Linked DNA regions of Notamacropus eugenii. The protein of the gene in region 1 purifies or fractionates together with the protein of each later gene. This does not show direct contact. Links are inferred from orthologs where the notes say so. Each region holds a gene or a part of one and is shown on either strand. Other genes may lie near its edges. The genes, in order: NCBP1, KPNA2, EIF4G1 and polyadenylate-binding protein 2.

Region 1 (7,620 bases):
CATCCTATCCTGTCCCCCTTTACTTCTATTTTCTTATGGTCCTTTCCCTCCCAATGAGTGTCGACCGCGTAATGCATTCTCCTCCCCATGCCCTCCCCTCCATCCTCCCCCCCACCCTGCTTGTGCCCCTGTCCCCCACTCTCCTGTATTATGAGATAGGTTTTCCTATCAAAATGAGTGTGCATTATATTCTTTCCTTTAGTGGAATGTGATGAGAGTAGACCTCATGTTTTTCTCTTGCCTCCCCTCTTTATCCCACCACTAATAAGTCTTTTGCTTGCTTGCCTCTTTTATGAGAGATAATTTGCCCCATATAACTTCTCCCTTTCTCCTCCCAATATTTCTCTCTCACTGCTTGATTTCATTTTTTTTTTTAATATATGATCCCATCCTCTTCAATTCACTCTGTGCACTCTGTCTCTATGTATGTGTGCGTGTGTGCATGTGTGTGTGTGTGTACTCCCACCCAGTGCCCAGATACTGAAATGTTTCAAGAGTTATAAATATTGTCTTTCCATGTAGGAATGTAAACAGTTCAACTTTAGTAAGTCCCTTATGATTTCTCTTTGCTGTTCGCCTTTTCATGGTTCTCTTCATTCTTGTGTTAGAAAGTCAAATTTTCTTTCCAGCTCTGGTCTTTTCATCAGGAAAATTTGAAAGTCTTCTATTTCATTGAAAGACCATTTTTTTCTCCTGAAGTATTATACTCAGTTTTGCTGGGTAGGTGATTCTTGGCTTCAGTCCTAGTTCCTTTGACTTCTGGAATATCCTATTCCATTCCCTTCTATCCCTCAATGTAGAGGGTGCCAGATCTTGTGCTATCCTGATTGTATTTCCACAATACTTGAATTGTTTCTTTCTAGCTGCTTGCAATATTTTCTCTTTCACCTGGGAATTCTGGAGTTTGGCCACAATGCTCCTAGGAGTTTCTCTTTTTGGATCTCTTTCATGCGGTGTTCTGCGGATTCCTTGAATATTTATTTTGCCTTCTGGTTCTAGAATCTCAGGGCAGTTTTCCTTGATAATTTCATGGAAGATGATGTCTAGGCTCTTCTTTTGATCATGGTTTTCAGGTAGTCCCAGAATTTTTACATTGTCTCTCCTGATTCTATTTTCCAGGTCAGTTGTTTTTCCAATAAGATATTTCACATTATCTTCCATTTTTCGAATCTGCGCGGTATGTTCTGAGATATCTGTCTTTCTCGAAAAGTCCTTAGCGTCCATCCGTACCATTCCAGTTTTGAAAGATCTATTTTCTTCAGTGAGCTTTTGAATCTCCTTTTCCATTTGGTTAATTCTGCTTTTGAAAGCATTCTTCTCCTCGTTGGCCCTTTGCACCTCCCTTGCCAGCTGAGTTAGGCTAGTTCTCAAGGTGCCAATTTCTTCAAGATTTTTTTGGTTCTCCTTTAGCAGGCAGCTGATCTGCTTTTCATGCTTCTCCCTCATCCCTCTCATTTCCCTTCCCAGTCTTTCCTCCACCTCTCTAACTTGATTTTCAAAATTCCTCTTGAGCTCTTCCATGGCCCGAGCCCATTGGGTGGGCTGGGACACAGAATCCTTGATTTCTGTGTCTTTGCCTGATGGCAAGCATTGTTCCTCCCCATCAGAAAGGAAGGGAGGAAGTGTCTTTTCTCTGATAAAGTACCCTTCAATAGTTTTATTTCTTTTCCCTTTTCTTGGCATTTTCTCCAACCAGTGGCCTGACCTCTGAATGTTCTCCTCACACCCACCTTGCCTCCTGGTCCTCCCAGCCAGCGTTTGGGGACTGAGATTCAAATGCTGCTTCCCGCCTTAGGATTTTTGGCGGGGGCAGGGCTGCTATTCAGTGTGAGAATTAAGTTCAGGTGGTCAGGGGCAGGGCCGCCTCTCAGGCATAGTTCCCTCTGGGGGTTTATGCACAGACCTTCCACAATGGATCCAGGCTCCTGCCCATTTGGGGAGCCCCCGTCCGCAGCTGCCTCTCAGCCCCCACCTCCCGGGGGGGGGGCCGAGCCTTGGGGGCACCCCACTCCCCTCTCAACCCGCCAACGAGACTCTCTCACCCACCCCCTTCAGTCACCTGTTGGTGGGGGGGGGCCCGTGCCGCCGCTGAAGATCCCGCCTCTGGAGCCCTCTCAGATCTGTGCGTCTTGGAGCCGTGGCCGCCGATGCCGCCGCCGCAGGTCCGGGCTGGGCTCTGCATCTGCAGTGCAACGGACCTTTTGCGAGAGGTTTGCAGGTCCCTCTGTGGGGACCCGCGTGGCCGCTGGAGATCCCATCCCCGTAGCCCTCTCGGATCTCCTCCCCTCAGTGTCGTGGCCGCGGCAGGGCCATACTCTGGTCCTCGTCCCAGAGCCCAGTCCGCGGCGTGAAGGACCCCCCCCGCGAGAGGTCCGCAGGTCTCTCCGGAGCAGGAATCTCCCTCGCTCCAATACTCTGTGGTCTCTGGGTGCAGAATTCGCCCTGGCTTGGTCCCCTCTAGCCATTCTGTGGTTTGTGTGTTCGGAGCTATGTGTATGTGCGTCTTTCTACTTCGCCATCTTGGCTCCGCCCCCTATATTATTTCTTTTACAGAAAAAAAAATCTACTTACATAAAGACACGTATTTATACACACACTGAAAGGAAGTTACTCCTCATCACTATCCTGTTTTGGAGAAGCGAGCACCTGGGCCTCAGGATGTCGATGAGCTTCTCAGGGCTTAGAATCATGCCCTCCTGTCAGCCTGTTCACACACTCTTATTCTATGGGCAGCACTGGGTTCAGCTAGGAGGCTAGGAAACCTCCCTAATTCATAGACTCCACCGCCTGTGGTTCCGTTGAATCGTTCACCACCAGCTCTTAGTCCATTCTTCGTTCTTCGCTCGGCTGACCCGGGCTAAAGCCAGATGGGTCACAGACTCTGGTGGGCGAGGGAAAGGGGAGAATCACGGACTCTAAAAGGGGGAAGGGTCCTCTACGCTAGCTGGCAAGTGAAAGGGTAACTTAACGAATCCAGAAGGAGAGCCAAGGCACAAAAACCACCTCTCCTCCAAGCCTGGCAGAGGCAGCGCAGGACCCTGGGCCTGAGGACCTCTGGCACAGCTGGCATGTACCACCTCCAGCTGGTGTTAGTTTGGCTTCTAGGCCAGTCCACCATCACAAGGGGGGGAGCGGACCGGACAGCTGCCTCTGTGGGTGCTGCCACCCTGCCTCTTCTGAAGACCCAGAAAAGAAGGTGCATGCCACCCACAGGCCTTGGCATCTTTACTTCAAACACAGAAGCTCGGTGACACAGGGGGGATGCAGGCCTTACACTGAAGCTGAAGTCTGACAGCAGGAAGGGCAGACAGACTGCCGGACACACAGGTCTGGAGGCCGTCACACCAAGAGGGCTGGCCACTCAGCAGGACAGCTCGGCCATGGCCCCCCGGGGCTTCTCCAGCGGGTGAGTGACCTGCTCTGGCCCGGCGCTCCAGCCTCTGAGCCACTACCTGCAGCCTTCCCCCCCTCCAGACTGCCAGAGAGTGCCAGCAGAGGGCCCTCGGGCTGCCAGTGTCTTCTCTTCACCCCGGTGTTCCAGGCTCACCGTCCTGTGCACACACCGTGTGACTTTCCATTCCTCTTTTGTTCACACTCGTTTTCAGTTCTTCAGAGTTGCCTCAGTTTCCCCCTCCGTAAAACAGAACTGAACAACCCCCACCTTAGAGAGGAAGGCCTTAACGAGGCCTGCCGGTCTCCAGGCCGGCCATCAACGTCAGTTATGGCTCTCAGGGGTAGGACTGCCGGCCCACCCCCCCGGGGGCCCCCGTGCCACGCGCACTGACCCGGGGGGAGGGGAGGGGTCCGAAGCGTCAACAGAACACCCGGGAGGTCGCAGGAAGTACCTACCTGGCCGGCTCCCGTCTTTGGGGGGCTTCCACCCGCGGGCCCGTCTATCCTAGCAACCACCGGAACACGCAGTCCCCCGAGAGCCCTTCGCGGGCACGTTTCTCCTCCCGACCGGTACTTTACAGACGGCCCCTCAGCCCAGACGTCGCCTACGTCCGGCAGGCGCAAGGGCAGTCGGGAGAACCATCGAGTGGCACAGAAGGCCCAGAGCGTCACCACCTCGGCTCCGCGCGGCCTAGCGTCTGGCCGAGACTCCTTCCTCCTCCCTTCCCCCCGCCCTTTCCCTAAGACGCGCGCCTGCCCAGCCGGGACCGACGCTCTAGGAACTGGCTCTCCCCGCTCCCTGTTCTCCCGGAAGAAGATTAAGCGCGAGGAGCGGGAGGAGGGGAGGGGAGAGAGAAGGCGGCGGAAGTTCGCTCCGCGGCCTTGTTGGGCCGCTCCCTTGGGCTCTCCCGCTTCAGGCTCCCTCACACGCGACGCCTCCCGCCCGGCCTCCCGAGACCCTGACGGGACGTCCTCGGGACGGTGGAGACGGGAGGTGCCCTCTTTCCCCTCCCCCAGCCTCCACGCCCGCCTCGCTCGCGCGAGCTCTAGCGTGCGTGTGCGTCAGCGCCGCAGGCCGGCCCGCAGCTCCCCGCGCCGCCTCGCCACCCCCTCCCCTCGCCGCTTCCGCCCTTTCCCGCTGCCGTGAAGCGAAAGGCGCGGGTTTCCCGCGATCTCCGGCGGCCGCGGAGGCGGAGGGGCGCGCGGCGGGCAGGATGTCGCGGCGGCGGCACAGCGACGAGAACGACGGTAAGTGAGCGGGCGGCGGCGGCCCGGGCCGGGCGGGCGGCCGGGAGGTCGGGCCGGGCGCGGGGCTGCGGAGCCGGCCCGCTCCCGGGATCCCGCTGCAGGCCTCTGGTCCGGGAGCCCCGGCTTCCAGCGCGGCCTCCGCCGCTCCCAGCCGTGACGTAGGGCCGCTGGGGCCTCAGTGTCCCCGTCTGTAAGTGGGCGTGATAACTTAGGATGTACTCAGCATTGTTGTGAAGATCAAGGGCGAATATACGTAAAGCCTTTGTAAGTAGTAAAGTCTTGTGCTAACGTTAGCCATTATTGATAAACGCAGATCTATCCGAGACCCCCCGGGGTTCACGCCCCGTCACCTCCCAGCACTGGCTGCCCGAGCCAGGACCTCGGTCCGCATCAGGAGATGGAGCAGGAGGGGCCTGTTTGACTTTCACCCACGTCTTGTTCTTATTTCGAGCATTAACCAAAAAATATGAAACTGGCATCACTCATTAGATGAAGGTTCTTCACCTTCTCGTGCGCGTCGTGGGCTCCTTCGGGGCCTGTGGACCTTTTTTCAGATAACGTCTTTGAGTGCATGAAGGAGGATTTCCGAGGAAACCAGTGATCTGAAAATGTGGTTATCGAAGGATTTAAAAGGACAACAGCATTACTGACTGGCTTTAAGAGCCCCTGCTGTGGACAGAGCTGTCTGTCTTCAGGGGCGTTCTCTTGTGGACACTTAGAAAGGATGGGCAACAGGTTCACCGTGTGACACCTATCATAGCTGCGCTCTTTAAACAGAATTCTGTAACTTTATTGGTAGTCTCTAGAGGGAAAGGACAAGACCCTGAGTGATTCTTCAGAGCAGGATTCCAAATTCATGTTCAGGGAAATACATATTATGGAGACTTGTTGAAGCTGCAGTAACATAACTAGGCAGGTATCAGAAGTTTCTCATAAAAATGTAAAAATCTCAGAAAATGTTCTATGTGACTGTAACAACAGTAATAGTATTAATCTAACAACTAAGATTTATTTTAAAATATGCATTTTGAAATGCAATATGATTCTGGAAGGGACTAGTGTTTTACATTTCATTTGTTTTGGTTCAGGTGAAAGAGCTAATAGCTTCGGATCCAGACAACCTGGGTTAAATCTGCTGCTTAATACCTTTGTCACATTTGGCAGTTCATCTTACTATGTAAAGTTAGGTGGCTGTGCCTGTGAATCTGAATATTTATTAAGGGTTGTTTCTTACCACACCTCCAGGATAAAGATCTGGTCTCAGAGTCTGGGAAGACCTGAGTTCAAATCCTGTGTGTGACTGGTATTGGTTTTGTGACTCTGGGTAAGTTGTGCCAGGCAACCTTCTAAGACTTTTAAAGTAGCTGAAATAATTACCTGTTAGTTTTGGTTCAAGGAGAGAATTTTTGCTATTGGAATCTCCCTGCAGGGATGAAATCTTAGATCTGGATTTGATTGGTGCTAACTGTTGTGCTAGATGCCTAGAAGTAGAAAGATGAAGTATGATCATCTGATCTCCAACAGTTTAAAATCTTTTTTGCCATACCTTTCCTCTGTAGTGCTCTGAAATAAATATGTGATTGTTCTCTTTATCAGAGAGGTTGACAATGAACTTAGGTAACATTTTTTATTCATTTGAACTAGAGATCTTGTCAGAATGAGCAAATTTAGAGGTGATCTGCAAATCTGTATTTTGCTAAAGTCCATCTCCTTGGATTTTCAAAAGTTGTGTCAGTGGATGCCAGGCTTTATCGTACCCTGTCAAACTGGAAAGATTTTGAATGTAGTCCCAGAGATGAGGACAAGCATAGGTAAATGAGGAGTCACTCAGGTTGAGCACTCCAATGATGATTTTTCTGGCTACAATTGATTGAAACTGTCTGCTAAGTATATTTATCCACTGAAGTATATTTCATGTCTTTTACAAGTAATTAAATACACTAAATATGTGGTTTTTAAAAAATATGTAACATGCACAGTAATTAAATTACATTGGCATAAGAGTAATCCCTATTTTTGTCTCTGGAGGGAACTTTAGTTTTTTACACCTTTTTCAAGTTGATACTTTTCACTACCACTTTTTTTTAAAAAAAGGAGATTCCCACAGAGATGTGAACATGAAAAAAATATGTCTTAAATGGAAATATACAACTATAAACCTATCATCACTTAACATAGCAAATATATATTGTAAATCATTCTCATTTTAATTTAAAAAAAACATTTCAAGTGCCTACTAAGTGTAGGAAACTGCCCTTAACTGGGGATACATGGTTGAAAAATGACATAGCCCCTGTCTTAAATGAACTTTTTCTGCTGGAGGAAAAGATATTGTTTATATAGATACAGATAATACAAGGTAGAGCATAATAGGAATAAAGGAAAGATGAATTCAAAATACTCTAGGAAAAATTGAGGAGGAACAGAACAGTTTCATCTGGGGGGATCAGGGAACTCTTCATGAAGAGGGTGATACCTCAGTTGATTCTTAAAGAGAGAGATTGTCCCACTTTTGCCTTTGCATGCACTGTGTCTCAGATAGATATAGATTGGGATTAAGGGACAGGCTGTCATAAGCAGAATGAAAAAAGTTCGGGAAATGTGGGGAGAGATGAATGACTGAAGTTCATAGAAAAAAACAGAAACATATTTAGAAAATACTTGGCTCATACTCCTAATTTCTGCCTAATTAATACTAAATAGATTTCATCCACCTTGAGTTAAATGTTTTTTGACTTTATAGCTTAACTTTATGAAGACTAGAGACTAGAGTCCATTCAGTTAGTGTGAGGGAGAGCATAATTTGAAAAAGATGATTAGTTTTGTTAAAGCCTTACACAATCAAAGGCATCTTTCTCTTCTCTTGAAACTTTTGTTTTCCAATTTTCTCATAAATTTTTATTTATATCTTAGTAAATCTTGACTCATGATGAAGTTTTTAAGAATCGTTGCAAGATGTATTTAGTAGGATTCTTCCAT
Region 2 (7,469 bases), on another chromosome or scaffold:
TCAAATAGCAAAATCATTGAAAAGCAATCAATCAAACAACAAACATTTTATTAAACTCTTGCTATGTGCTAGGCATTAAGTTCTGGGGATACAAAAACATAAGAAATTTGGGCCTATGGGGCTGTGGACAACAAAAGTAAAATTAGAGAACATGGTAGAAATGGATTTCATTGGTTTTAAATTTGGATTTTTTTTTCAGAAATATTCAGTTACCCCTTAGTTAAGAACAGAAGTCATCTAATTGTCATCTGTGTTGCATTCAAGACTACACATCATATTACCAGAAGAAATGGAGAAAGTGATAGAGGTACATCTTGGGTGGCAGAGTACAGGAAAAATGAAGCAAGGTGTCAAGTATCGGGACAGAGATAACCAAGAACCTTGATCATGGGATTCTTAAGGGAGACAAAATCACCCAGTGGCCTGAGGAGGGGCAGCCAACCAGAGTTCTGAGACCATTGAATCCTACTGGTACTCTGAGAACAGATAAAAGTAGAAGTCAGCAGAAGAAACCAAAGAAAACAGCTAGGACCAAACAGAGCCAGAACATGACATCTAAGTATATGGGAGTTTGCAGAACTTGACCCTTGCACTAAGTCACAATTTAGGAAATAAGACTGGAAAAATGAATAAATACTGATAGAAAATTATGATGGAGCCAGGAGATGTTTAAGATATAAACCCCAAAATGAATAATTCCACATGGTCTACATGCAAAGACTTCAAAGCAAATCAAAGATTTGCCACGTGCTCTTCTGGAATTTCTGAAATAAATGAACCAAGAACTTTCTCTCCAAATCATTTTTACACGGATTTATAATCTATCCTTCTCACTAATGATCACTACCTTTCATTAAACAAACAAAAACCCTAATAATAAGAATTAACAATTCAGCAAAACAAATTCCCACATTGACCATGCCCCCAAAATGTATGTTTTCCTGTGCATTTTAAGTTCATAACCACTCTGTTGTATCCTTTTATCATTAATTGACTGGACTCCAGGTTTATTTTTGCGTCAATTAGAATTCTAAGGTCTTTCAAAGTTGTTTTTCTCTACAATATTTCTGTCATATAAATCATTCTCTTAGGTCTGCCCACTTTGTATTACTTCATAGAGGTCTCCCTAGTTTCCTTGAAATTTTCTTTTATTATTTATTATGGCATAGTAATCTTCTACTACCTTCCTATATCACAGTTTGTTTACCCATTCCCCAACAAGACAGCCCCTAAGTTTCCAATAGGAACCACTACTTTGAAAAGAGCTCCTATAAATATTTTTGTACATATAGGTTCTTTTCCTCTTTGAGGTATTGGCCTAGTAGTGGTATAGCTGGGTCAAGGGGTATACACAGTTAATAACTTTTGGGGCATAGTTCCAAATTGCTTTCTAGAATGGCTGGACTAGTTCACACATCTACGAGCATTAGTATGCCTATTTTTCTGGAAGCCTCCATTTGTCATTTTCCTTTTTTCTCATCTTTGCCAGTCTACTGGGTATGAAGTGAAACCTCAGTTTCTTAAATTAGCATTTCTATAATTTTAGTGATATAGAGCATTTTTTCATATGGTTGTTGGTACCTTGGATTTCTTTCTTTTAAAATTGCCTATTCATCTTTTGACCATTTTTCTTGAGACATGGCTCTTAGTTTTATAGATTTGTATAAATTCCTCATCTAGCTAGGATTTGAGACTTTTATCAGAGAAATATGCTGCAAAGTTTCTTTCTCAATCACATTTCTCTTGTAATTTTAACTATATTAATTTTGTTTGCACCAAAACTGTCCATTTTATCTTGTGTGATCTTTTCTATTGCTTGTTTAGTCATGAACTCTTCCACTCTGCATAGATCTGAAAGGTAATTTCTTTCTTCTCTAATTCATGATTTGACCAAATGTTACATTTAGATCATGTAATCATCATTTGGAGTGTTATCTTGGCATATGGTATGTGGTACTGATCCAAACCTAATTTCCATCATACTGCTATCTAGTTTTGGTTTTTTAATTATTTTTTAGTTTTAACATTCACTTCCATAAGATTTTGAGTTCCCTCCCTTTCCCGCCACCCCAAGATGGTGTGCATTCTGATTATCCCTTCCCCTACTCTGCCCTCCCTTCTAAAACAGCCCCCATCCCCTTCTACTTTATTGTATAGTGCAAGATAGATTTCTATACCCCATTGTCTGTATATTGCTAGCTAGTTTTACTAGCAGTTTTTGTCAAACAGTGATTCTAAAGCAAAAGTTTAAAAATGATCATATAAATAAGAGCTTTAGAGTTAAGAATAGGAAAAGGAATGGGAACTCTAGAGAAAAGAACTTAGTAGAACAGTTTAATACAAGAAGTATAAAATCTTACTCAGTAACAGAATCCTTGAAAATTAGATTTGATCATAGACACCGGTGACTCCATGAGATAACAAATAAATACTAGAATTTAAAATCAAAAGACTGTAAAACTATCCAATATCATCTGCCTCATTTTCCTCAACTATAAAATGGGGATAATAGCACCTACCTTGCACAGTTATCGTGAGCATCAAATGAGATATTTTTAGAGCACTTACAAAGTAGCCCAGCACTTAATAAATGCTTGTTTCTTTGCCCTTCTTTATGCAATAGGTCTAAAATCTTGGGTATAAGTATGCTCCAAAATGGTTTGGCAACAATGATTTGGTAAAAATCCAAATGATTCAATGAAATTTGAAAATAGTTGTGACATTTTCAAGTTTTCAGAGGTGGCAAATGGCAGAGCTTGACTTAAGATCCAAGGCTTTCCCCTTTACTTTTATAACAGCTGTGTGAGAACTTGTGGTCTCTTAGTGGTAATTTCAACACCTTTATTGGTTCAAAAATTAAGAAACAATGAGTTAAAATTGTAATTGAGTTCCACTACAGTCATATTAATAGCATTTGGTTTGGATTTAATTTGTGCTATATAGGCACATTAATGTAGCCAACTCCTGGGTGAGGAAAGGCCGACCAATATAACAAGTTAGAGCCTTAAAGGTACTTAGAGCACTGAGAGGTTTACTTGTCACACAGCCGGTAGGTCTTCCTGGCTTCTAGGCAGGTTCCCTATCCACTATCAAAATTAAGAACTAAGAATTGTTTTGGACTAGATGACCTCTGGAGGCTTTGTACTGAGGTGGGAGAGAGAGAGTAATACCAGGAAAATGCCATAGTGGAGTCACTATCCAGGAGAGGGTGAGTGTTAAATGCCGCAGAGATATTCAAGTCACCTCTCTGTTGGACAACGTCCTAGTTACTGTGGCAATACCTATGACTGTCGGGATTTTCTTTACAATCTCAAATGAAAGATTTTTATTTGAAAGTTAATTGCCTCATTCCGTTTTGGCTTTGGAAGATCAGGCAACAGCACTTTTCAAAGTGTGGTCTTTGAGTCCAAGTTCCTTAAAGAGTCCCTTAAAGTCAAAACTGTTTTCATAATAATACTAATACTACTATACTACTAATAATAATAATACTAAAACATTTATTTGGCTATTAAAATGCCCCTCCCTTTTCCAACTACATATTTATGTAGTATGAACTTCAAACAAATCAATATAATGCAACAATCTGAAGACAAAAGCAGATATGAGAATCCAGCTGTCTTCAATTAAGCCAGACATTAAAGAGATTTGCAACATTATGTAGAACGGCCCGTCTTCTCAGAAAATGTATGGGAAAAGTTATTTTTCATATAAAAAATTCTTAATGTTCACATTTCCAAATGAACTAAACACTTAAAAATTTAATTTCTAATACAATAAATATCCATAAATATTACAGCAAAAAGTTTTGGGGGTCCTTGGGAAATTAAGGTCCTTCAGATCAAAAAGTTAGAGGCCTCCTACAACACAGCATCTATTGTAGCTGCCCCCCAAAAAATACAAATTGAAGATTTTCTAAAACGAAAAAATTCGAAATCTCCTACAATCTAAGAGACGAGACCTCCCTGAAGCAAGCACGTGGAAAACAATCATTTGTCCAAGCTGCCCATAGAAACTATTTTAAAATATTTTTTGCACGTTTAGCACTGGTCCGGGCACACAGCGACAACTTAATCTTTGCCATGGACTTGACGATAAATCGCAGAGCTCCCCAAAATCGAAGAGTGTGCACAGATCTCACTGATTAAGAATGAAGGCCCTCCGCCATCCCAGCACTTGGAGACATTAAAACATCCCTCTACCAAAGCATGGCTGCAAAGACTTCTGGGATGTATACGCAGGTTTTGCTCTCCCCTCATCTCACGAGAACTCTTCCCTTCTCCACTCCCCCGCCCTCTCGCTCGACTACTCCCTCTGCAGGCTCCATCTTGGGACCACCCAGCCTCGTGTTTTTCAAATCCACCAATGGTCGCGTTGCTTGGGCTCGAATGAGCCAATGGGAGCTCCGGACCGCCGGGAAATTTAAATCGCGCCGGAGGGCCTCACGCGCCACACGGCTTTCGGGGCTGAGCTGCGGTGGTTGCTGGAAGTCTAACCGTGACGCAGCTGCGACCTCCTCTCGCTTCCCCTACGGGGCCCGGCGACCTCCTACAACGTGAGTTCTTTTCTCTCGCCCGTCGAGAGCGGAGACTAGGCCGGCCGGAAACGGTTGACTCCGAGGCTGTCGGGAGGGAGGGGTGTGGGAGAATCGCCTGTTGCTCTCCAGGCCTCGTGGGGGAGGGCCTGGTTGGGGCCCTGGGCCTCGGGCCGCGCTCGGGCGCGTCCCCGCGGTGGCAGCGGCAGCGTTCCCGAACCCGGCTCCTCTGGGTCACTCTGCCGAGGGCGGCCGGTGGCAGCGGAGGTCCGAGATCGGCCTCTGTTACTTCAACCGCTCCCCCCGCCTGGGCTGCGGAGTGAGAGTGTGCGAGAGCGCGCGTGCGTGTGTAGCCGAGTTTATTTGGGGAAGGGGGGCACGCTGCAGAGGAGTGGGCTTCCCACGACCCTCGGCCCAAGCGTGACGTGTTCTTTTCCTCGGATCTCCGGGCCTATCTGCTAGATGGGCCGCCGCCCGCCGCCCTCCCCCTCCCCCTCCCCCGACAACCGGGATGCCCAGGCCTTTGTGTCTAGCGGTGTCGCCTCCCCCGAGCTTCTCCGACGACAGCGCTTAGGGCCCAGCTGGTCTCTGGGAGCGGGGTGCGGAGGGAAGGTGGGGGAGGGGAGGGCTCCTGAATATTCTCTTTCTCCCACCCAGCGTCTGGTTTAGGGAAGGGTCGGAAGTACTAACCTTGCGGCCTGCCCAGGGCGTGAAGTCTGTGTTGGTTCCTGAGGTTCAGTGACAACTAAGCCACACCTTGGGCCCGCCACCCTGGGCCCTGACTGTAATCCGTGCTGTATTTAGTGGGCTCTTACTAAATACCGGCCTCGCCCCCAGCTCAGGAAAGGAGCCCCTCACTCTCTTCGTTTTCTCGGCTTCTAATCAATCCCACCTTAAAGAGATTTTTCCTGCCTTCCATCTAAAAAAATGATCTATCATTATCGATGCTGAACAGGCAGCTGGTTGTTGTCGTCTTCCCATTAAGACCTGCACTCCTTGAGGACCGAAATTGTATTTTTGCCTTTTTAATATCCGTAGCACTTAGCGTACTGCCTGGCACATAGTGAGTGCTTAATCAGTAACGTCATGAAGTAATTGATAGATCGCATCTGGAAGGTCTTGATTGTAACTGCTTACACCTTTGTGTTTGCAATTAAGCTGCGAGAGGACCCTTAATGTTAAACCTTAAATATTGTCTTTCTCTAAAGGACATGTCATAGCTAGGTAGGAGCAAATTGATGCTTGCCAACTTTAAATTCTTGAATTGTTTTAAAAATTAAATTTGAAATGTCATTTGTTTGGGGAAACGTCCAAAAATTTACTAAAATTGTACTGTTATGACTACTTAAATGAAATAGAATAATATTTTGGTGTAAGGGACATTTAATGGAGAGACTGGCTAGGGTTTAATTGCTGGCAGCTTATCACTTAGCTGTCAGTTAACAAGCATTTATTAAGAGGTTACTGTGTACCAGGTAGGCATTGAGCTAAGCTGTGCTTAATATAGATTTATTGTGAACTGGAGTACTTCATAGTTTTAATGCATATAGTTTGCTGGCTATGCTGTGGTTCCTATTGAATGGTACATTCTTTGTCTGGTAACCACAAGTAGAAAAATGAAGCAAGCATGTAGAAATATTTATAATATATAATATGATACTTTGGTAGTTGACATATTGCTATGTTAGTGCTGGTTTTTTCCTTTGGTTGAAGTAATAATTACTGTTTAATACAATAAAATCCTGTTGGATTTCTTATAAGGCATCGAAATTTCTTTTTTGTTTCAGTTCCCTCTTTGCTTTTCTCCCAGTGTTGAACACAACCATGTCCACCAATGAAAATGCTAATTCACCAGCTGCCCGGCTTAATAGATTTAAGAACAAAGGAAAAGACAGCACAGTGAGTAGTAGCCTTAATCTTGTTATTTTCTAGATAATTTTTTTGGGTGGAGGAGAAAGGAGAGTTCTTGGATGCTGAAATGAATTTAAAGGCAACCTAAATTTGTCTTAGATAATTCAGAAGATGATTGTGGATAAAAAACCAAAAACACTTTGATTTTATTTTCCTCAAGGAAATGAGGCGCCGGCGTATTGAAGTGAACGTAGAACTGAGGAAAGCTAAAAAAGATGACCAGATGCTGAAAAGAAGAAATGTCAGCACTTTTCCTGATGATGCTACTTCTCCTCTGCAAGAAAACCGAAATAACCAGGTAAATTCTCCGTTTCTTAATTCCAGCAGATTTTGCACATATGATGTTTATTCTTTGGAGTTTGTTTATATAATCTGTAAATCTTCAGAAAAGACTTATACCCTGTATGAATTGGCCTATGATTGTTCCTGAAACCTAGACATTCTTACTTCTTGAAGTAGCAGGCTTGATATGACAGAAAATGGTTTCAGTAACTGGCTGTTGAGGGATAGTGTAATCCTTTTGTCACCCTGTATTAACCTCATCTTTGTTTTTTTAGTTTGTTTTTTTGATAGTCCCTTTCCCAACATCTGTGGGAAAGTGTTTCATCTCTCTACTTTTTGCCCTATTTTCTTTTGGGTAGGGTGGGCAGGAGTTGGGAGATTATAGCCACTTAACTACTCTCTACCTCTAGTAGAATGTTGTCAAACAGATCTGTAAGATACTTTGAAAAATCATATTACTCTAATATTTCCATTGCCCTTCTTGGGGCGGGGTACAAACTTTGGGCATGTAAGATTTTTCAGACCAAAATAATTCTTATTACCTGTCCCGTATCCTGTTTCTTCATGCCATCCATAAATTTTTTAAATGGTGGTCATAATTTCCTCTGAGTTCATGGTAACTGTTCCATATTCTGATGACCCCTGATAATGTATATCTTCTTTTTTGTGCGTGTTTTATTCTGATTAAGACAAGCACCATGGAATAAATTTTAAACAATGCGCTAGAACCAGATGCCTGCAACTG
Region 3 (7,634 bases), on another chromosome or scaffold:
TAGCGAAGCCCCAGACCTCTTTGGTTGGCTTGGGGATCGGAGCCCACAGGGTTGTTTCCCAGTGCAGACTGCCTTGTTCCTCATTTCCCCTTGACCTCTTCCTCTCCCAGTTGCTTTTCAGGTTTTGCTCTTATTTACATACTGTGCTCAGCAGGGCTTTTGTCAAGGGTTTGGGTTTGCAGGGGCTCTCAGATCCTCTTTAAATTATTTGTCTCTTCCCCCTTTTCCTTGAGTTCTTCATCTCACTCACATCCATTCCATTCATGTATCACAGTCTATCAGTCATTGCAGTTCCCTTATTTTACAGAAGATGGAACTTACTGTCTTGGGTGAATGATTACCCCCCAGGCTCAGAGACAAGAAATGGCAAAGCCAGGGCTCAAGCCCCTCTCTTCTGACTTTACCCTGTTGGCCCCCAGGGGCCCTCACACATTTGGATCAGAGCCTGTGGGTGCTGGGATGGGAGCTCTCTCTTCGAGCTCCCTCTGACTTTTTTTTATATCCTCTACCATACAGCTTAGGTATGGGGAGCCCACGCTGCGCCGGGCAGTACCTCTGGCATTGGCCTTGATCTCAGTCTCCAACCCAAGGCTCAACATCTTGGACACCTTAAGCAAATTCTCCCATGATGCTGACCCGGAGGTATCCTATAACTCCATATTTGCCATGGGCATGGTGGGCAGTGGTGAGTATCAGCAGAGAAAGGCAGGTATTGGGCACAAGGGGGCATCTGGGCCAGGTTTGGGGAATGACTAACTCTGTGTAGCATCCCTGCCCCCAGGAGTCCCTCTCTGCTGCTTCATCTTCTCAGGTACCAACAATGCTCGTCTGGCTGCCATGCTGCGCCAGCTAGCCCAGTACCATGCCAAGGACCCAAACAACCTCTTCATGGTCCGCTTGGCCCAGGTGAGGGGGGTGCTCTTCTCTAAGAGACCTGGAGGTGTGGGGGCAGGGTGGGTTGTATACATGTTGGGCCTAGACCATCAGGCTTTCTGGCTGGCTGGTCTTGCTGGAGTCCTGACCCTCCCTGTATCCTAAACAGGGCTTGACACATTTGGGGAAGGGCACCCTCACTCTCTGCCCCTACCACAGTGATCGGCAGCTTATGAGTCAGGTTGCTGTGGCTGGGCTGCTCACCGTGCTCGTCTCCTTCCTCGATGTCCGCAACAGTGAGTGCCCCTTGGAAAAGTCCTAGAAGGGCTGACTCAGCGTCAGGGCAACTCTCCCAAGATGTTAGGGCTCCTTTGGAGATACCTGGATGTTCAGGTTCTGACCATTGGGTGGGTCTTGGGGCGTAGCTGTGCTTTTCTTGGGCTACTCTTGTACTGTTTTATGCCCAGGCCTGACTCCCTTTAGCTGGGCTACAGTGGGACTGGCTGGCTTCTGGGGTGAGGGACTGGCCATTAATTCCATTGTATTTGGTGTTTTAGGTAACTTTTCCCCACCTTTCAAGAGTCAGGCAGAGTGACCTCAGGGTTAGGGGAGCAAGCAGAGTGTGGGCAGAATGAAAGAATGACAGCCCTGGGGAGCATAAGGCAGTTTGGGGAGTGAGGAGCGTCGAGACGGAGGAGGTGGGTTGGGGAAAGCTGGGGGTGCTGAGCTAGAGCCACTGAGGCAGCTTAGGAGTGGATGGAGGAAAGCTGGTCACCTGCCCCTCTCTATTTCATTCTTAGTCATTCTGGGCAAGTCCCACTATGTGCTCTATGGGTTGGTGGCTGCCATGCAGCCCCGAATGCTGGTCACCTTTGATGAGGAGCTCCGGCCGTTGCCAGTATCTGTCCGTGTGGGCCAGGTGAGAGATCTTCAGGGGCTGGAACACGGCAGCCATTCCTCTGGACCTCTGCAGGGCAGGAGGGCTACTGGATTCACTGCTCTAAGACTCTTTCTCCATTTTTTATCCTTTAGGCAGTCGATGTGGTGGGCCAGGCTGGGAAGCCCAAGACCATCACCGGATTCCAGACACACACAACTCCAGTGTTGCTGGCTCATGGGGAACGGGCTGAGCTAGCCACTGAGGAGTTTTTGCCTGTCACTCCCATCCTGGAGGGCTTCGTAATCTTGAGGAAGAACCCCAACTATGATGTCTGAGTGGCCCTGGGGGCCCTAAATTTTAACTTGAGTCTGGGGACTAGGCAATACTCCTTATTCCAGAGGTGGCTCTCCAACAGCCCTTGGGGGGAAGCTGTTTCCCTCCTGTTTTTTTTTGTTACAGAATGAGATGACTATGTTGAATTAAAGACCCTTGTGCCCTCTGTTTCATTAATGTCTTTTTTCCTGGGGTGTGCTAGCTGGGGATGAGGGTACCTGGGCACAGGCTGGAAGGAATGTTCTGGATCACCAAGTTTTTCAACAATTGAAAGTTTATTTCTTTAGCTCATCAGTCACTAAGCATTCATTAAATTCATTACTGTGTGGCAGGCACTGGTCATACAAAGGAAAATGAAATCGTTCCTACCTACCTTCCAAAGAGCTTACTTTCGTTCGTGTGTGTGTTTTCTACAGCTTCTGTACGCAAGCTCTCAGGGGAGCAGGAAATCTATTTTCACCACTTGGGATGGAAATGGAGGCTACATCCCAGTGAGGTTCCGCCACTCAGGATGTCAATCTGTGGGTAGCTCTGTTGGAGCTGTTCTCCCTAATTGATTTGCAGTGGAATTAAAAACTAGATAACCACATTTCTTAGTGTGGTGGAGAATAAGAAAGCCCACTGGGTATTTAGGAGTTAGGCCTGTGTGTGTGCTTTCACAAGGGTATCAGCACAGATGGGCTGCGGAGACTTTCTTACTGTAATTTCACGTTTTCATAAAGCTAAGAAAAGTTTTCTGGATGCTCTTTTGCTCTTGCTCCCCGTGGTGCAAGGCAGCCTTGCCCTGTAGCAGATTAAGTGCGAGCTCAGCAAAATCAGCCAACACATGGATTTGTGCTGGACACGATAGGCTACCTCCTATATCCATGGTCCCCCACCTCCGGGCCCTTTCTGCTGACTCTGTGGTTCCCTGCTGTGTTTTTGTGTAGGTCAAGTGATGAGAACATTAAAGAGAATGAGACCGGGCCAGCAGCAAACTGGGCTTCTTGGTCCTGTCTCCATTTCTACTGGTCACTGTTGGACAGCCTAGCCTTGACTTTCCCTACAGTCCAACTCTACTGACCTCTGCCACCTCCGGGAGAGTAAGCCTCTGGGGTTGGGAATCTGAGGCAAACAGGGCGAGGTCACACAGCTAGTACCTGTCTGTCCTCCTAACGCCAGCCCACCTGGCTGCCCCTGCCCTTCCCTGACCCCTTCTCTTATGCTCCGCTATTATCTGCTCTCCTCGGACCTTAAAAGTTCCCCGCAACTTTCAATCCAAAAGACCTTCAGCAGCCTCCTACGGGCAGCTGGTGGGTACTCGTGGGAGAGGCCCAAATGGCATCACCGTGATACAGCCAAGTTCGGCGCCCCACCGAGGCCCACCAGAACCAATCGTGCGTCCCGCGTTTCCTCGGGGCTGTCTCAGTGCTAGCACGTCGTTGGGCTCGCTGTCCTTCGGAAGGAAAGGGGGTGCGGTCCCCAGGACTCACTGGGCCTCGCGCCTGTTCTTTCGTGTCACTTCCGCTGATAAAATCCCATCAGCTTTGGGTGCTTGGCCACCTGCCGGTGCCAGGGATTTTCGTGGTCAGAAGCCCATTTACCTTCTGCCACGGAGGGGACGGGACAAGGCCCGCTGGGGGGCATCACGCTGGGTGGGCACGGGCTGGGGCAGTTCCTCCAGCTCCTCCGGTCCGCGCTCAGCCCACACGTGGAGATGGGACGCGGACGCGGACACTCCATCCATGCGGCGCTCCCGGACCTCGTGACCTGGGGGCCCTGGGGGAGCCTGCGCCAACCTCCTCCGGCGGAGGGGGCACGACAGCCCGGAGTGGCTCCTGAGGGCAGGGTCTGGTCCGCGGCGGCCCCCAGGGGCTCCGAAGGCCCCCCCCGACAGAGGAATGCGGTTGAGCCAGAGTGGAACTTCTGGCCTCCCGGCGGGCTCCACGTGATCGACGAGGGCCCCCGCGGCTGGGGGCGGGGAAGACTCTGCGTAGCGGCAGCGGGGGGACGCCGGCGTGACGGCGATGACGACACACGCCGCAGGCGGGCCACCTCCCAGCCCCGGCCGGTGCCACCCAGCCCCCTGCGCCGCGGCAGTCACGTGGCAGGCCGGGCCGCGCCTGCGCCTGCGCCTGCGCCTGCGCCTCGGGGAAGAGGCGGCGGCGGAGCCGGAGCGGTGTGCGGGAGCCGGAAATGGTCGTGGACGGCGCCTGTGCGGCTGCGTGGGGCTCGGCCGCGCGGACTGAAGGAGACTGAAGGTAACGGCGCCATGTCCGGGCCCGAGCCGGGCCCCCTCCCCCCGGCATCCGCCGCCATCCGGCCCGGGGCCGCCCGCTCGGCCCCGCTGCCGCCGGGCCCAGCGCGGCCCGGCCCCGCCCCGCCGCCCGCCCTCCCTCCGGGCCGGCCGGTCCCGGCCTCGCGCTCAGCCCAACTCGGCCCGCCGCCCGCCCGGCCCCCTGCCAGCCCACGTGTGCCGGCCGCCGGCCGGGTCGAGCGCGGGGCCGGGCCGGGGGCCGGGGCCGAGCCTGCGGAGCGCGGGGTCGGGGTCGGGGCCAGGGCCGGGGCCGAGCGGGCGGCGGGGCGGGAAGTGACACGTTGTTCTCTGGCGCCGCCGCCTCGGGAGGGAGGAGCCCGGGCCGGCCCCAGGCCCAGGCCCAGGCCCAGGCCTAGGCCTTGCTCGACCCCGGCCCGGCTGGTCGACCCGCTCCCTTCTCCGCTCCCCTCCTCTGCCTCTCCCGGGTGCGGGCCCGGCCGCCCCCTCCTCCAGCCTGTGCTCGACCAGAGGAAGCCCAGCACCTACTGTGTGCGGGCCGCGCGCCCCCCCGGCAAGCGTTGCCTGTTCTGCACCTACTGTGTGCGGGCATTGGGGTCCCCCCTCCGTGTTCTTGGCTCTGTGAGATCAAGCACTGCCTGCTCAGCCTCCCTGTGTGCCAGGCACTAAGGCCCCTTCTTTCCTCTTGTTCTGTAAAGAAATCTTTGCTGTTCAGCACCTACTGCGTGCCAGGCGTTGGGCCCTAGCCTCTCTTCTTTACTCTGTAAGATCAAGCACCGCGTGCCAGGCATTTGGGGACCCTCTTCCCCTCCCTCCTGTCTGCTCTGTAAGAAGCCTTCTTATCTGTCACTGCTGTGTGCCAGGCCATGCAGCCCCATTTCTCTGCTGGCCTCTGCTCCGTAAGAGCAAGTCTTTTCCTGTTTAGCACCTACTGTGTGCCAGGCACTGGGGTCCTCCCCTGTGTTCTCTGCTATGTAAGATCAAGCACTGCTTTTTTGGTCCCTAAAGTATGCTGGGCGTTCACCCCCTCCCTTTGTAAGAGCAGGAATTTCCTATTTAGCCCCTACTGTGTGCCAGCCACTGCCACTGTGCCTGACCTCTCTCTCCTTTTCCCTATCCCCCCAGTCTCTTTGCTCTTCCCCTTTTCCTAGGACTAGTATGTCCTCAGGGCTTCTCTCAGGAACCCCAGGCAGGCCTCCTGACCTTCCCTTCAAACTCTCTCCCTCTCTTCTCCATTGTAGGAACCAGTGTCAGTTCTGGTTCTGGACCTCTTCCTGATAAACCCCCCCCCACCACCACCACCACCTCTTTTGAACTCCTGTGTCCAGGACACCCACCCACCCACTGAATTCAGACCCTCACTTTGGCCCAGCTGGGCCCCAGCTGGCTTCCCCGAGGCTTCCTCTGGCACTTTGTCCTTCACGTGCTTTCTTAGGCAAAAATCATTTATCTTCTGGTGTGTCTCTTACCATCCCCTGGAGGGGGGGGGGGGGGGGTTCCTTCCTTTTTTGTTCTTGGAGCATGGTGCCAGGGAGACCTTGAATTTCTGGTCCGGTTGGTCTTAGGCTTCTGGAGCCAGGTTGATTCCCCCTCCCCTTCTAATCCTAGGCCCCTCGGATGCCCAGAGCCTGTAGGCCACAGCGTGGATTTGTTGTTTCCCGAGGGGGTGAGTGAGGGGCAGTTGGGGCTGGGCTCAGATTCCTGTCTGTGGTCTGGAAACCTGCAAAGGTGGGAGACCCTAGCTTTAATTATTAGGGACTGAGCTTCAAGGCCTTAGATCCCCTCCCTGGTGCCTCTTTGAACACACGCCCCCCTCTCTTCACAGGTGCTGGGGGGACCCTGATGTGGCACCAAATGAAATGAACAAAGCTCCACAGCCCACAGGCCCCCCACCTGCCCCATCCCCTGGACTCCCCCAGGTAATGGGGGACTGTAGAGAAAGGCTGGGCCCAGAACTGAGCTGGGGGGGAGAACAAGTTCCAGTTGGATTCCCCAGCCCCTAGATGGGAGGCAAAGTGGGAGTCTTGGTGGGGGGGCCCATGGCCTCCTGGTTCTGGGGGAACTGAACTTGCCAGCCCCAGCTCTGTTAGCTGTCTTGTCTTGAGCCACTTTGTTCTCCCCCCAGTGGTTTCCATTCCCCCTTAGTTTCTCTTCTTGCTGAATTCTGGTCTCCCCCTCTATAGCCGGCATTTCCCCCGGGGCAGACGGCACCGGTGGTGTTTAACCCGCCACCAGCGACCCAAATGAACACGCCTTCTCAGCCCCGCCAGGTGAGGGTCTGTGGGGAGGCAGCTGGGACTTGGGGGGCTGGGGAAGGACCAGGAGAGTTGAGTGGTCAGGGCCTGGCTCCTCGCACCTGCCTCTGATCTCTTCCAATCCTTGTTCTCCTGTGTCCCCTTATTCTTTTTCAGTGCATTATTTGATAATGAGTGCCCACAGGAGACACGCCTAGGTTATGGGGGTACCCCTAACGGGGAGCCCCACAGAGCTGGGAGCAGTGCACCTGGGGTGGCCCTAATGGAGCTTACATCTTTTCTGTCTCCTCTCTTCTCCTGGTGGTCGCAGTAGCTCTGGTCATTGTCCCTTGTGGCCACTCTAGCCCATGGGGGAGAGGAGCCCCATTTTTTCTCCCCTGCTTCCTTCCTCCTAAGAAGGGATGCTTCTTTCCCTATTCTCCTCACTCCATCCCTGGCCACCTGGGGGATAATTCTCTTCTTTCCTGTCCCCATGTGCTCTCAGGGAGGATTCAGGTCTCTGCAGGTAATGCCTCTTGCCTGATCCTGGACCATAGCCTGGTCTCCCAGTCACGGGCGGGGCAGCAGGGACAGGGTCCTGGGGGATGATGGGGAGATAGCCTCCTGTCCACCCAAGATGGAGCCCTAGGGTGGCAGGGGGGCTGCTGTAGTGCATGTTGAGAGGGCTTAGCTTTACCGAGCCTCTGGTCGTGGGAAGGGAAAGAGCCCTGCATGTGAAAAGCCACCTCCCTAGTGTCTGGGGGGTGGGGCAGGGAGGCAGAGCAGTGCATGCTGGTCTATTTGTTGCCTGGAAGGGTCAGGGAAGGCAGGGCTGCTTTTGTATGAGAGGGGTCCTTTTTATGCTACCATATGGAGTGCATGGTTCTCTGGGAGTAAGAGTGTGCTGGAGAGAGCCTGGAGGTGAGGGGAAAGGCCAGATGAGCGAGTCGTTGGCCCTGGGGGCTGGTTAGTGGAGCCCACCTATCCGCAGCAGCCCATCTTGTTTTGAGATTGGAGGCCTGGCTGTAACATTGTGTGTTCCTTTTCCTTCCTCACCCTC
Region 4 (7,500 bases), on another chromosome or scaffold:
TGGTCTCTGGAAGCATGGCTGCATGGGACCACAGTGGGCAGTTTTGGCCAGACACTCCTTCTGGGGGCAGTGGAATCCCCTAAGATCTTTCCTTCAGAAAACCAGGGACTTTTCTATTTGGGGCTGTTCAGTTCCTGGGGGTTGTCTCTTAGCCAAGCAGGCTGAGTGTGACTCCCTGTTTTTAAGTCCATTTCATTAAAAGTAGGGGGAAACACATTTAATTGCCATTTTCTAAAGGATAAACTTGGTGGAGAGGCTGAGGGGAGTGTTTCTTGCTCCCAAGAGCCCAAAGGGGCAGGTGGGAGGCTTTGCTTAGGCCATGGGAGGAGTGGAGGTGGGGCAGCTAGGTCCTGAGAGTGCTTTTCCCACTTCCCACTTCTGCCAGGACATACATTATTTTTCTTTTTCAAGTCAGAAAACAATGCGAGAACGGATTTGGTTAGTTTAGAAGAAAAGAAAAAAGCTCTATAAATATAAATATATATTCATGTATTTTTATTTAATAATTTATAAATACTGGGTTCATTTGACTTTTATTTTTGTGTAATATGTAATGGTCGTATTAAGAAATAAAATCCAGAAGTTTAATGAGGACTGAACAGGGTTGTGACTTCTGCATTGACAACTGGAAGGATGGGGTGGGTGGGTACTGGCCTCACTCCCAAACAACTTTTTGTGATTTTGTTAGGAGAAGGAATTAGGGCAAGAGGGATGTGGGAAGTGCTCCAAGTAAGCTTCGGGGTTTCTGATTAAGAATTAATCTAGTAGGGCCTCTCCTTCCATCCATATGACCTAAGCCAGTCTTTCTTGGACAACAAGGGCCTGGGCAAGTCCTGGCCTTTCCCAAGCATACTTTTCTGTCTCATCCTCTCCTTCCCTGCCACCTCCCTTCACCCCCAGCTATCATTCTCAGGCCTTAAACTTCAGTTTGGGGGATTATTTCTGCTTGAATGTTCTGTTGAGAGTCAGAGTGGTACAGCAAACAGCTGACTGAGGCAGCCAAGTCTGGCTTTTGTTGCATGCTCTTTGTGGCTTTGGGGAAGTCAGCTAACCCTCTCAGTGGCCCAGGAAACTCTTGAGACTATAGGTTTCAGAACAGTTATCCATCTGCATTACCAACGAAATCACAGTCTGGATTACAAAAAAATGCTGCTGCTTGTTTTATATTAAATTCAGTTATGAAAAAAATAGAGTTTTGTTCCTTCTCCAATTCCCAGAATCAATGGATCCTTGTCATTCTACATGTAAGCCATAGACTATACATAGTCTGTTCCTCTGCTTCTACACGGGGCTTTTTCAAAACCATTTCTGACAAAAATCGAATTTCAAAAATCTTCAGACAACAATATTCCAGTCTTTTATGTAATATAGTGTTACCCTCCCCCGCTCTGAAGCTCTGAACATTCATCCTCATTATAGTTAGGAAATCCTTTCATTTGTCTCGACTGCCTCTTTTGCCTCCCTCATCAACTCCCCCAAACTTCAGATTCCAGCCAAGTCTTCCTGCATCTTTCCTTCACTCCTTCTTGACCACCTGCCTCCTCTTGCCTCTTCCCAGTGTTCAAACTGTTGCTTACAACAACCTCCCACTGTACATCTGACCAGCTCTATTTCCAGTAGTTCAACTGTCACCTTTCTACCATCTCAGGATCTCTTCACTTCCCCAGAAAGTGTTTATTTCTCGCCATTAATTGTTGACTTCAACAAACATTTGTTAAGCCAAGTCCTTAATTAATATGCTAGAAGTTGGGGAAACAAATATGAAATAAAATAGCCCTTATACTTAAGGACCTTGTAATCTAGTAGGCAAGTAAAAATTTCATGATTATCTTTTTGAGGTTTTTCATATGGTGTTGACTGCACTAAAAGTAGTATCTAATGAGGTTGTAGTACCATACATTCTGTGCATCCATTGTGTTTCTCTCTGATACAAACTCTTTAATACGGAGTGTGAGTAAAAACTTTTCCAAATTCATTATACTCTTAAGAGAGGATCTGTTTCAATATCAATGCATTTCTGCTTTCCCTGCTTGCTTTATACTGTGAACTCCTTTGTTTAGACTGGTTTGCATCCTTACTCAAGCCTATAGCTAAGGTCAGTTTTATTCTTAGGTTTTAAGGTACATGCTCAGTCAATCAACGTTTGCCAGTTGTGCTAAGCTGTTCAACTTGATGAATTTTGTCTTTGTATGATATTTAACGGACTTTATTTCTAATCTCTTCCTTTACCATCCATATCATCTTAGTAGGTCTTCATGAGTGTAGGCAGGGCCAAAGAAAGTTCACTGGGTGGTCAGCCTTCTGGTGAGGAGCCTCTTGGCTAGAGGTCTGTCTGGTTGTCAGACCCATTCTGAAAGCCTCCTGCTTTGGTTAGACCTGCCAGAGCCCTGCTCTAGTCACAGTGTTTGGGAAGCCTGGCTCAGCTCAGTGCCACCGGGCCCAGCTCAGTGCCACCGGGCTCAGCTCAGTGCCACCGGGCCCAGCTCAGTGCCACCCGGCCCAGCTCAGTGCCACCGGGCCCAGCTCAGTGCCGCTCGGCTCAGTGCCACCCAGCTTGGCTTGGCTCAGTGCCACCGGGCTCAGCTCAGTGTCACCCGGTTCAGCTCTGTGCCACCAGGCTCAGCTCAGTGCCACCGGGCCCAGCTCAGTGCCACCCAGCTTGGCTCGGCTCAGTGCCACCCGGCTCGGCTCAGTGTCACCCGGTTCGGCTCTGTGCCACCGGGCTCGGCTCTGTGCCACCGGGCCCAGCTCAGTGCCACCCGGTTCAGCTCTGTGCCACCGGGTTCAGCTCAGTGTCACCCGGTTCAGCTCTGTGCCACCGGGCCCAGCTCAGTGCCACCGGGCCCAGCTCAGTGCCACCCGGCTCAGCTCAGTGTCACCCGGCTCAGCTCAGTGTCACCCGGTTCAGCTCTGTGCCACCGGGCCCAGCTCAGTGCCACCGGGCCCAGCTCAGTGCCACCCGGCTCAGCTCAGTGCCACCCGGCTCAGCTCAGTGCCACCGGGCCCAGCTCAGTGCCACCCGGCTCAGCTCAGTGCCACCGGGCCCAGCTCAGTGCCACCCGGCTCAGCTCAGTGCCACCGGGCCCAGCTCAGTGCCACCCGGCTCAGCTCAGTGCCACCCGGCTCAGCTCAGTGCCACCCGGCTCAGCTCAGTGCCACCGGGCCCAGCTCAGTGCCACCCGGCTCAGCTCAGTGCCACCGGGCCCAGCTCAGTGCCACCCGGCTCAGCTCAGTGCCACCGGGCCCAGCTCAGTGCCACCGGGCCCAGCTCAGTGCCACCCGGCTCAGCTCAGTGCCACCAGGCCGCCCTGCCAGGGCTCTGCAGGATGAAGGCATTGTAGGCCGTGCTGAGGTGAAGCCCTAGGCCCAGTGGGCACGCCTCTGAGAACGCTCGGGTTTAGCTCTGCCAGGTCTGCGTGCCGGCTCCGTACTGCGAAGAGGGCGGACTTGGGCAGGGAACGGGCCGCGTGCCTGCCGCACGCCAGGGGGCCTCTCGAGGCCTTCTCGTGGTGGCAGTGGTGGCAGGCCAGGCGGCGCTGTTGTGTCCGGGGGAGGCTGGCGGAGGCCGGGGCGGGGCGGGCGCTGCCGAGGCGGCGCTCGGGGGCTCGGGCCTGGCCTCGCCGCGCTGCCCTTCTCAGGGTTCGCTTGCCCTCAGACTGACTGAGGGAAGCAAGATGGCGGCGCCCTCACATTCGATCATATGACCCGGGGTCCCGTGCTCTGAGTGGGACGGTCCGTTTGGCTGGAGCGGTCACGTGTTGTAACCTAGGTCGGAGCCCTTCGAAGCCCTGGGGCCAATGGGCAGCCGAGCTTCGGCTAGGCTTGCGGGCGGGCTGCGTGAGGTTCCGTTCCGCCTTTCGTGGTTAGCGGCCAATCGCACGGCACGGCGAGATGAGCGCGGAGGGGCGCGGCCCATAGGGAGACCGTTGGGGATGGCGTCACAGCGTGGCAGGATTGTGACCTAATGACGGGGGGAGGCGGGACCGACGTTGACTGACAGGCACGTTCCCCTACTGAGATTCGAGGATTTGGCTAGCTGCCCCGCCTTAGAGGCGTGGTCTTGTTTGACTGCCAAGTATTTCTACCCAATGGACTCCGAGCGCCCGGTGACGGGCAGGCTGCTTGACTAATGAGCCCCCAGCGTGGCCGGCGCGGCTCTCCAATCGCCGGGCGGCGGGCCCCAGTCTGAGCGGCTATGGCGGCGGCGGCGGCGGCGGCAGCAGCAGCGGGGGCTGCGGGCGGTCGAGGCTCCGGGCCGGGGCGGCGGCGCCATCTTGTGCCCGGGGCCGGGGGGGAACCCGGGGAGGGGGCCCCGGGCGGCGCGGGGGACTACGGGAACGGGCTGGAGGCGGAGGAGCTGGAGCCTGAAGAATTGCTGCTAGAGCCAGAGCCCGAGCCCGAGCCCGAGGAGGAGCCGCCCCGGCCCCGCGCCCCCCCGGGAGCCTCCGGCCCTGGGCCCGGCGCAGGAGCCCCCGGCAGTCAGGAGGAGGAAGAAGAGCCGGGCCTGGTGGAGGGCGACCCGGGGGACGGCGCTATCGAGGACCCGGTGAGGACGGGGGCTCGGGCGGGAGGTCGGGGTCATGGGGGAAGGGCCTGCGGCCCGGGGCAGGCGAGGGGCCGCCGTGGCGGAGGCCGGCGGGGGAGGGGGCGGGCGGGTCGTGGGCGGGGAATTACGCGGAGCTGGGCGGGACGGGACGGACTCGGAGTGCTGGCTGGCTGGCGGCGGCGGCGGCGGCGGGCGGGAGGCCGAGGCTGGGGCCCAGGCCGGAGCCGGAGCCGGAGCCGGACGCGGTGGGGCCCGGGCCGGGCCGAGGCGGGGTGGGGCGGGGGCCGTCCCCTCCCGGCTCGGCTGAGCCCGCTCTCCCACCCCGCCCTCCCCAGGAGCTGGAGGCCATCAAAGCCCGAGTAAGGGAGATGGAGGAAGAGGCGGAGAAGCTGAAGGAGCTTCAGAACGAGGTGGAGAAGCAGATGAACATGAGCCCCCCCCCAGGCAATGGTGAGCGGGGGGGGGGGGGGGGGGGGGGGGGGGGGGCGGGGAGGGGGAGGGGCGGGGCCGCCGCCCGTGACCTTGCGCCCTCGCCCGCACTCCACGGGCCTGGGGAGGGCCTTTAATGCCCGGGGGGGGCGCTGGAGGGGCTGGGGGCCGCTGGGAGCCGGGCATCGCTCGTGTTTTGTAGCCGGCCCAGTGATCATGTCCATCGAGGAGAAGATGGAGGCCGACGCCCGCTCCATCTACGTGGGCAACGTGAGTGGCCGCGCTGCGGGGCTTCGGGGAGGGGGCGGGGCCCGGCGGGGGGGTGGCACCGGGGGCCTCCGCCCCCCGTGCCAGGGCTGGGGCCCGGCCTGTGGGTGAAGTGGGGCTCTGTGTGCCCAGGTGGACTACGGCGCGACAGCGGAAGAGCTGGAGGCCCATTTCCATGGCTGTGGTTCCGTTAACCGAGTCACCATCCTTTGTGACAAGTTCAGCGGCCACCCCAAGGGGTGAGTGGGGGGTCCCCGCGGTGCGCCCTGGGCAGCGCCGACAGGGAGCGTCCTGCCCTCTGTGCTTAGGGTGGCAGGGGCCCCCTGCGGGGAGCTGACGCGCCAGCCTTGGGGGTGAGGGCACGCTGAACGCCCGCCTCCGTGTCTCCCCTCCAGCTTCGCTTATATAGAATTTTCAGATAAAGATTCAGTGAGGACGTCGATGGCCTTGGACGACTCTCTCTTCCGAGGAAGACAGATCAAAGTGAGCGCTTCCTGCCCCGGTTCGGGAGGTCTCCAGGACCGAGGGCTGCCCCTAACCTGCCTTGGCCTTTGCGTTGGCTCAGGTGATCCCCAAACGGACCAATCGACCGGGAATCAGCACCACGGATCGGGGCTTTCCTCGTGCCCGCTATCGTGCCAGGGCTACCAACTACAGCAGTTCACGCTCTCGATTCTATAGTGGCTTCAACAGCAGACCCCGGGGCCGAGTCTACAGGTCAGGATAGATGGGCTGCTCCCGCCTCCTTCCCTCTGGGCCTCGTGCCCTCCTCCCTAGAGGAGCTGCCAGCCTGGGCTGGGGGGCAGTGGCGGGGGGAGGCGTCCCTCCTAGGCTTGTTAGTAGGAGGGCTTCAGGGGAGGCCTGGGTCGAACCGGGTCTTAGTGCCCCTTCTGGGAAGGGGGAGGGGCGGGATGGACTTTGTTTCCCTCAGGTGGTGGGAAGGCATTGGGCAGTGTCAGTCCGAGTGGATCTGCCCAGCCCTGCTGAGGGTGCTGGAGTTAGGGTGGCCAGCTTTTGTCAGGGTTTTAGGGGTGCTCGTTCCCTTAGTGTCTGGATGCTTGTTGCCTTGAGATCCTAGGTCAGCTCCTTTACTTTAGTCTCCCTGACGTGTCTAGGGGAAGTTAAGCATCCTAGTGAGCCCCTAGGAGCTCAGAAGAGCTGCTGTTCCTGGTGCCTGGAGAGTTGGGGAAGGGGCTGGGGGGTGATGGGGAAATCCCCTGCCAGGGCAGCAGGAGCGCTTTTGGGGAGAGTGTTTGGAACCTGAGCCTGTCCTCAGTCTTGTTCTCGCTCCTTACTGGGCCGTGCTCTGGGCAGCTTCCCCTCCGCTGGCATGTGCCCTCTGGTGGGACCTGAAGCCTTTCCCCTGAGAGGGAGCTGGAGTTGGACCAGGAGGACCAGGGGAGGGGGCTGTGCTGAGGTGTCCCTTAACCATGTTTACACCCAACTCTCCTTCTTTTTTCTAGGGGCCGGGCTAGAGCGACGTCATGGTATTCCCCTTACTAAAAAACACAAAAAAACAAAAAAAAAACCAAACCAAAAAAACAAAAAAGTGTGTATTAGGAGGAGAGAGAGGAAAAAAAGGAAAGAAGGAAAAAGGAATTAAAAAAAAGAAAAACAGAAGATGACCTTGATGGAAAAAAAATATTTTTAAAAAAAAAGATATACTGTGGAAGGGGGGAGAATCCCATAACTAACTGCTGAGGAGGGACCTGCTTCTGAGGGTCTGGTCAGGGCAAGGGCCCCCCCCAACCCCCGGGGAATGGGACAGGGGGCTGCTCATTCATTCTGGGGGTTCGACATGGACAAGTCTCGACTTCGAAAGCTGTTCCCTACCCCTCTCCCCCCTGCCTCCTCTCCTCACTTCACCCACTGGGGCTGCTCAGGGGTGGGGGCAGGATGGTGGGAAAGGTTTTACCTAAGGGTATGTAAGGACACACAACTGTTCTGCTTGTCACCCCCCCTCCATTCCTCCCTGTTCTCCTTCCTGCCTGCCTCTCATCCTGCCAATTGCCCACCTCCCCTCTTCCTGGCTCCCTGTCCCTCATCCCTGGGACTACTTCTCCTGACCCTCCAGAGATTCCCTGGTGATCTATTTTGTTTCCGTTTGTGTTTCTGTTTCTGTTTTGAGTGTCTTTCTTTGCAGGTTTCTGTAGCCGGAAGATCTCCGTTCCGCTCCCAGCGGCTCCAGTGTAAACTCCCCTTCCCCCTGGGGAAATGCACCACCTTGTTTGGGGGGGATGAGGGAGTTGGGTGTTTTT

Evidence for each region.
Region 2: the proteins of NCBP1 (region 1) and KPNA2 purify together in Homo sapiens (co-immunoprecipitation; 5 studies listed by BioGRID and IntAct, with this or other methods). This does not show direct contact. The link is inferred for Notamacropus eugenii from reciprocal best matches to the Homo sapiens genes NCBP1 and KPNA2.
Region 3: the proteins of NCBP1 (region 1) and EIF4G1 purify together in Homo sapiens (affinity purification with western blotting; 3 studies listed by BioGRID and IntAct, with this or other methods). This does not show direct contact. The link is inferred for Notamacropus eugenii from reciprocal best matches to the Homo sapiens genes NCBP1 and EIF4G1.
Region 4: the proteins of NCBP1 (region 1) and polyadenylate-binding protein 2 purify together in Homo sapiens (co-immunoprecipitation; 3 studies listed by BioGRID and IntAct, with this or other methods). This does not show direct contact. The link is inferred for Notamacropus eugenii from reciprocal best matches to the Homo sapiens genes NCBP1 and PABPN1.

What each region holds. Positions count from the first base shown.
Region 1 is NC_092874.1:314,403,646-314,411,265, reverse strand, and holds the start of NCBP1 (nuclear cap-binding protein subunit 1), read left to right. Parts: upstream 1-4,454; 5' UTR 4,455-4,607; coding exon 4,608-4,641; intron 4,642-7,620. Other genes in the region: TSTD2 (thiosulfate sulfurtransferase/rhodanese-like domain-containing protein 2), read right to left, coding at 3,564-3,578. UniProt on the Homo sapiens protein: Component of the cap-binding complex (CBC), which binds cotranscriptionally to the 5'-cap of pre-mRNAs and is involved in various processes such as pre-mRNA splicing, translation regulation, nonsense-mediated mRNA decay, RNA-mediated gene silencing (RNAi) by microRNAs (miRNAs) and mRNA export.
Region 2 is NC_092873.1:327,758,667-327,766,135, reverse strand, and holds the start of KPNA2 (importin subunit alpha-1), read left to right. Parts: upstream 1-4,282; 5' UTR 4,283-4,385; coding exon 4,386-4,552; intron 4,553-4,554; exon of another isoform or gene 4,555-4,872; intron 4,873-5,221; exon of another isoform or gene 5,222-5,536; intron 5,537-6,318; coding exon 6,319-6,430; intron 6,431-6,602; coding exon 6,603-6,740; intron 6,741-7,469.
Region 3 is NC_092873.1:57,030,336-57,037,969, reverse strand, and holds the start of EIF4G1 (eukaryotic translation initiation factor 4 gamma 1), read left to right. Parts: upstream 1-4,199; 5' UTR 4,200-4,326; intron 4,327-5,948; 5' UTR 5,949-6,006; intron 6,007-6,165; 5' UTR 6,166-6,199; coding exon 6,200-6,259; intron 6,260-6,523; coding exon 6,524-6,610; intron 6,611-6,929; exon of another isoform or gene 6,930-7,067; coding exon of another isoform or gene 7,068-7,100; intron 7,101-7,634. Other genes in the region: PSMD2 (26S proteasome non-ATPase regulatory subunit 2), read left to right, coding at 517-685, 812-906, 1,043-1,169, 1,674-1,792, 1,906-2,088.
Region 4 is NC_092878.1:9,832,858-9,840,357, reverse strand, and holds the start of polyadenylate-binding protein 2, read left to right. Parts: upstream 1-4,040; 5' UTR 4,041-4,195; coding exon 4,196-4,546; intron 4,547-4,664; exon of another isoform or gene 4,665-4,791; intron 4,792-4,881; coding exon 4,882-4,996; intron 4,997-5,177; coding exon 5,178-5,245; intron 5,246-5,374; coding exon 5,375-5,481; intron 5,482-5,637; coding exon 5,638-5,725; intron 5,726-5,807; coding exon 5,808-5,959; intron 5,960-6,705; coding exon 6,706-6,745; 3' UTR 6,746-7,500.